Caenorhabditis elegans: one gene and its partner. The protein of the gene in region 1 purifies or fractionates together with the protein of each later gene. This does not show direct contact. Each region holds a gene or a part of one and is shown on either strand. Other genes may lie near its edges. The genes, in order: ZK1098.11 and F53B2.8.

Evidence for each region.
Region 2: the proteins of ZK1098.11 (region 1) and F53B2.8 fractionate together in Caenorhabditis elegans (co-fractionation; one large-scale study listed by BioGRID). This does not show direct contact.

What each region holds. Positions count from the first base shown.
Region 1 is NC_003281.10:9,554,562-9,557,987, reverse strand, and holds ZK1098.11 (Protein NATD1), read right to left. Parts: upstream 1,389-3,426; 5' UTR 1,388-1,388; coding exon 1,333-1,387; exon of another isoform or gene 861-1,332; coding exon 613-860; 3' UTR 534-612; downstream 1-533. Other genes in the region: C48B4.6 (uncharacterized protein), read left to right, coding at 1-108, 156-236, 282-427; unc-16 (JNK-interacting protein), read right to left, coding at 1,872-1,978, 2,025-2,324, 2,375-2,660, 2,718-2,866, 3,152-3,219, 3,270-3,350, 3,398-3,426.
Region 2 is NC_003282.8:12,525,537-12,529,278, reverse strand, and holds F53B2.8 (Coiled-coil domain-containing protein 86), read left to right. Parts: upstream 1-1,882; 5' UTR 1,883-2,059; coding exon 2,060-2,081; intron 2,082-2,128; coding exon 2,129-2,209; intron 2,210-2,428; coding exon 2,429-2,880; 3' UTR 2,881-3,048; downstream 3,049-3,742. Other genes in the region: F53B2.5 (Importin subunit alpha), read left to right, coding at 300-533, 576-716.

The DNA of each region.
Region 1 (3,426 bases):
TCGTGTTCCTCATTGAGCACAAGCCTCTCATCATGCTCCATGTCGGTTACATGACTCTTCTGACCATCATTCCGATTGCTTATATGGTCATGCAGGGTGTTGAGTTTGGTAAGAAGCTTATTAATACGAATTTCTTCAAAATGCTCCAATTTCAGGAATCCTCATCTTCGATGACTATCACATTCTCGTTTTCCGCGATTTTCATAAGTTTGGATGTTCCATCATGTTCTCCCTATGTAAGAGTTTGTTATTCAGTAATTCATGAGAATATTAATTTTCAGACTACATTGGATACATTGTCGTGTGCTTCCTGTTCATCGAAGCTCTCGAAAAGAAACCAGTTCTCCCACAGGTTTATTCGATCAAGCCAAAGCTTGTTGCCGCGGTTAATCCATCGAATAATTGCAATGTTTACCCAATGCTCTGAGCCCCTAGTGCCACAATTTGTTACCTTGTTTTTTTGTTCTCTCGTTGTTCATCCCGAAGAGCTCTAGCTCAACTGCTTGTTTTGTTGTTTTATTAAAAAACTTGTTCTCAAAATAACTTTATTAATTACAACCCTTACAATACAGGCACAAATCTTCACAATCGAAACATTTAAAATTCGAATATTCACAGCTTGTGGCGAATATCGAGTTGCTTCTCCTCTTCAGTTGCACTACTTCCATCAAGATATTTTGCTACGTACCAGCAGGTTGGCTGGACGAGATACTTGTTGTCGGCGGCGTATTTGAGTCCTTCCTTGACGAGAATTTTGGCGACTCCCTTTCCTTGTTGGTCTTCTGGGGTTACGGTATGTTGAAAATCGAGCACGCGATTTGGAAGCTCTGCGTATTCCAGATAGGCTTTCGAGCCGGTATCTAAAAGAAATTAACAAATTTGAAAAGGGATCACAATTTTCAGCATAAAAACTTTTTACAGATGGGTTTTTCGAACAGTTATAACCCAGGCGTGAAATTTTGCGATTTTTGCACCAGAAATACGGTGCCTGGTCTTGTGACGACAAATTTTTGTTAAATGCAAAAAGGTGTGCGCCTTTAAAGAGTACTGTAGTTCTTAATTATGGTTGCAGTGTAATTTTTCATAGTTTTTCTATAAAAAAATACATCATAAAAAATCGAATATAACTATAACAACACAATTTAAACAAATCTAGAGAAAAATTGGAAATTTAAGAAAATTCCGCGTAAACGAGGGTTTGAAATTACAGTACCTTTTAAAGGCGCACACCTTTTTGAATTTAACAAAAAAATTGTCCTTGCGAGACCTGGTACCGTATTTTTTGGACAATTTGTCGCGCCTGGGAAAATTCATAATTCTCAAAAAACTTACTGAATTTAATGAAAAACTCCATAGCTTTTTTGCAGTGTTCGACACGGAACGCCATTCTAAATTGATTTTTTCTGTTTAAAATCTACTTTTTTCAAGAGTAGAAATATTTGCAGTCTGATTGAATACGGTACTCTCAGGCAATATTAGTTCTTGAGGCGACTTTCATTCAAATTTTTGTAAAAGTAATGAAAAATAAAGAAAAAAAATTCGACAAGACAAAAGCACGAATATTCACAGAAAAAGTTTGGAAAAAGAGACTAGAATGCGTTAGAAGTGGGAGGGTGAGGGATGACAAGAGAGGAGACGGAGGGAGCAACCGAATATTAGACATTTCGTAGGAAAATGTACAATTTACATGAATTTTGGATGCATTAAAACTTTTAATTGAATTGAATTCTAGACAGGGAAAGTGGTGAGAAAAAGCCTTTTGGAAAAAGAAATCGAATCAAAATGCAAAATGAAGAAGAACGAATGGTTATGCAAAGCATTGAGGTTGAAGAAAAAAGAAGAAAAGAGATCGCATTGAAAAGCGAAATGAATTATTTTGAGAGGATCGGAAGTTCTGCATCGACTTCCCAGATAATCAAATGTGACATATCACGTGGCCGAATTGATTGCCCTGTCAGCTCCGGTTCGTTTTCTTCACCTGAAATTGTATACATTTCTAACAGTCCGTATAACTATTTTATTACCTATCCTAAAGTCAATATATCCATCTCCACCAGACATGATCAACATTCGACGTAGAGTCACTTCTGCCGACTCATCTTCTCCGTTCTTCGATGCTCCAGGTACTCCAAGGAAGAACTTGACACTGTCTTTATGACCATGGAATGATAATTGAGCATGTGCCAGGTTGCAGTACGGAATGAAATCATCATTTGTTTTTTCGTCGTTAGTGGCGTTTTCTGAAGTTGCTCCATAAACTCTGACGAGTCCACCTGGTCCCGCAGGACGTTTTGAATCTTTTGTTTCGATCTTCTTTTCGAGTTCTGGAAAAGTAAACTGGTTGGCATAAGATTAGGGAAATTTAATCACTCACGTCCAGAAAATGGCACAGAAATGATAACACCAGTTCCAGTTCCAATCCAAAGTCTTCGATTTGAGACAAGAAGCGCCGTTGTTCGCATGTATGAGAAATCAAGTTTAGATGTCCCAAGCATTTTTGTCACATATGGTTCTATATCAACATCTTGAAGGTGTTCATATGTATGTGCATGATAGAGTCGGAGAGTTGAATCGAGACGAATCGACAACCATACTCCGGCTCCAACCCATTGCATGTTACGGACTTGACTGTCTTTTCGTGGATGAGCAGCGAATACTTTCTGGAAATTTAAATTTTAGGAACGGAATTGAGGGATATACTTCTCGAAGAAACGCACCACGATTTGGAGACTTTCAGCGTCAAGAACAACTACACAATTCTTGTAGGTCGCCCAAATGTTTGTAGAGACAAGGCACAAGGATCGGACTGATGACGTGGCACTTCCAACACGTAGAGAATGATATCCTTCGTCGGACCATTCACCGTCTGAATTTTAATTAAATATTATCATCGATTCATTCATTTTATTATGAACAGGGTTGTGGATTTTTTTGGTTTTGTTTTTTTGGAAATTAGACGAAAAATTGGGTTTTAGTTTTATTTTGACACATACATTGAGAGATTTTTGTATTTTGCAAATGTTCTTTAGAAAAATATGCGTTTTATAATTTTTTTTTTTCAAAAACTATCTATCCTTATATTTTGAATAGTACTTACGTCTTGAGCTTAAAATTTTTTCTCAATTTTTTGCACAAAATGTATAGAACCTACGTTTATTTCTATGGAATATGGCAATTGTTCCATTGGCAAGAGCAGCAAAGATACGGCTTTTATAGTGTCTGTAACAATTTTTATTTTGAAATGGGTATCACAATTTGAATAGACGTACACAATACTGAGAACTGCATCAGGCATTTTGATACGGCGGAGGCATTGCTTCCAGGCAGTCACAGCGGAGTGGATGTAGATGCTGAAAAATTCGACTTTTATCAAAGGTAACATAGTTTTAATACATACTATTGATTCTGTCCACCCATCCAAACTGT
Region 2 (3,742 bases), on another chromosome or scaffold:
TATGAACAGTATTTTATTTATTAGACATGCACCACCATTGTTTTACATTGACAGGGCATATATCTCGATTCACTTCCGTTTTATCAAAAAATTGTCAACTGAAGAAATACGTGCAAAATGTTTTTCTACGTTTTGATAGTGAAATTGTTTGATAACACTTGAGACAGTCAAGATATGAGCCGTCAAAGTGAATTAATGAGGGTGCAAGTACAATAGAGACAATACTGTAGTTAGCTTTGAACACATCTTTTGAAACAAAATTTATTTTCGAGCTTAGAAATTATCTATGGTTATTTCAGGAATGTCTGTGGATTATTGGAAATCTATTGGCAACTGCAGATGAGCATCAAACGTATCTTCTCGTCTCCTTAGGAATAGTACAGCATTTTCCAGCTCTTCTCGATTTTGATGATGTTCGTTTGAATGAAAAGGCGGCGACAACTGCAACTGAACTGCTCCGTGAGCATCCATGGCAGTACACATTGTTCCAACGTTTGGATATTTTGGGATGTATTGAGAGAGCTGGAGCAAACGTTAGTTGAATATCCTTAGACTTAACAATCCGTGTGTTTCAGTTTTCGATTCAAAAAGCCGAACTGAAATCTTTGATGAATGACTTGGCGCCACCTGAACGGAAAGATGAAGATATTGCCAAAGGATGTTCTGTGATTTGCTACAGCAAGCTCTCAGACGACTTTCACAGCATGAGCATTTGAATTTACTCGTTTGAAAATAAAAATACGAATTTTGATTGTGTAGGTTTAAAATATCAACCCATCAATCAGCAGAAAATGTTGTCTAATTACGTTTCTGTGATATTTAAAATTACTTGAACATTTCCAATACACCTGTTTTTATTTGTTCACTCGAATTCCAATCAGATTACTGACAGATTACTGGCTCTTCAACTGCGATTTTTCTACCGGTTTGTGTACTCTTTTTGGACAATTAGATGTTATGTGCACTTCCTGAACAGGTGCATAAACAATTGATGAGATGATGATGAATAGATGGATTAGGAATGGGGGAAAGAGGATTTTAAATGTTTTTGGAACATAGGGGGTAATTACCGGTAATTGATTTTTTCCAAATTTCTTCACTCCTAAAATATTTCAAGTTTTCAGGCAACAAAATGTGAGAAAAAGGATTTTTTTAAAGTTAAATATGATCAGTAAAGTGTCGGCTTCCATGATTTTTACAAATACACAATTATTATAACATCTCTTTTAGGTTTTTAGGTAGATTTGCATTAACTTTGCCAAAACTATTCGACTCTTCCAACTACAAAAATGTTTTCCAGTTTGAATTCAAATACCCGTCGTCCTTTTCTATTTGCCAATTTCCGGCGGCAATGTGATGGGATAGTGATATGACAATCTGTTACTCATTCCTTTTGGCGGTTTTTGTAAGGAACAAAAGCACTTTTTCTAGATTTGAATTTGAGTTGGGGAGATGTTGAACGACGACGATGAGCTGTTAGATGTTTTAAATCTTGAATTGTATAGTAATTCATAAGATTAAAAATCAGAAAACTTAAAAACTTAAATTTGAATATAAATATACCATAACTTTATGTCATCGATAAAAATTGGTCACACAGTAAAAACCGAGGGTTGCTGTACCTGGCAGTAGTCTGAAAAAATCAAATGTTAATGAAAATTTCGAATATTAAAAAATTTAAAACATTGCCTAAGTTAAAATTTTCGAAATGCTGAAATGCTTTGGGTGTAATATTTGTTAAGCATATTTCTAGTGAATTTTGTAGTTAAAAATTTCAACACTTTGATTTCGCAATCCCGTCACCCATCTTTTCCCTCTGGGTCTCACGATTTCCCCATACTTTCCAATAATCTTTCCTGTCAACATTCCCATTTCACATGACATTTTCAATTTTAATACTACCTTACTCATAGTCAACATCACTATTTCAGAATTCCACACTTATAAACATTATTGATGATAAAAACTCTTTGATAAGAAATTGATACAAAAACCCTCCTCAGTGCCTGCAATTTCAGTGGTTACTTGTACTGCTAAAATCAATTGCTTTGAACTGAAAATGCCAATGGGCAAGAAGTTGTGTAAGTTTTTAAAGTCGAGAAAAATTTGAAAATGCTCAAATTTACAGTGGGAAAGCTTAAGAGAAATAAGGTGGAGGAGCCACAGGTGGAGCCGGAGGAGGATTTGGGAGATGCTATGAGTACGCAAGGTTAGTAAGGAATTACATTTGACTTTTAGTGTTGAGCGTCGATTGTAGTGTTCGGAAAATTTTAGTTCACTGAACGGTATAGCAAATACGCAAATTTGACGCGAAAACTTTATAAACAACAGATTTGACGAGCAAATTATCGTAATAAATCTATGTGATAAGTCTAGTTTACGTTTGGCAGATTATATTACATACTCGAATGAGATTCGCAAATTTCAGAAAAAGATGACGTGAAAGTTGGGAAGAAAAGAGCCCCGAAGAATAACATGGGTGGAAAGAAACGACTGAGATCCAAGCTGGGAAATGTTGGGAAACACCAGAAAAGGGTACGCTCCAAGGAAAACACTCCGGAAAGAAAGCTGGAAAAATTGGAGAAACTCGAACTTCAACTGACCTTAAAACGAAGTCGAGAGGAGCAGAAACGAGCCAAAAAAGATAAGAAACTGGAGAGAAAAGCACTGAAGATTCAAAAAAAGTTGGAAGCTTTGAGAAGCATCAAGGAAAAACCACATCAAGGCTCTGAAGCACAAGGGCCAAAAGTCCCCAGAGCCAGAAAGATCCGGGTACCAGCCCCAAGACCACCCCGTCTTCCATATTTGGCTCTAGTCGCCAATCTTCATAAGGCTCCGAAAGCATTGCGTGATATGAGAGCTGCTGCTTCACGCCGTTAGTGTGGGCTTTGGATCATTTGGAAGAAAAAAAAATTGTTAAGTGGAAAATTAATAAGAAGAATATGAATCTGGATGTCAAATTTAATTTGTGGACGTTTTGAATTTTTCACTTTGAAGTTTTTATTTGTTAATAAAAAATGTTTGATTCAAAATTTACAAATTTCAAATCAGCATACCAAAATCTTCGAAATGTAATCATGATTCATGAGAGGTCTCGCCATGAAAACTAATGGTTATGGTAGATTTTTTCAATCTTATTCGAAATTTCAATTTGAAACTTGATCTTCAAAGTGAGACCACATTTCCCACTAACGTTTTTTATCTGCTCACTATCAGATCAAATTTAAGATTCAGAAAACTTGCTAGCTACAGTAACCGACACGTTTTGTAGTGAGACCCGATCTGCTTCGTAAAAATTCACATCTGCCTTGTAAGGAGACCTACACCTGATTCCTGCCTACAAAACGTGCCTATAGACTTGCAAAATTATTTCCGATCCTTTAATTGTTTGCAAAAATTCAGATGCCTAGGCAGTAGGCAAGCTTGTAGGCAGGCAAGAATACAGTAGGAGGAAACGTGCTTGCCTACTGGAATTTGGGAAATTTCTTCATAATCCGGTAAATTAAATTTTAAGGAGAATTCAGACTGTTCCCACAGCAATTTAAATCCACTTCCCTTTCCAAATTTCTGTGTCTCACTCCACTTTTGTTATAATTTTACGAATTTTTATTGCTTCCCCTTTTCCTAATTTACAGTATTCCTTGTTATCGAAAATATGTATGAATTCTGAGAAAAATTGGTCAAAAAATATAAAAAGACAAAAAACAATTAGCAGCCCCAGACCATCTCGACAATTTCCCCC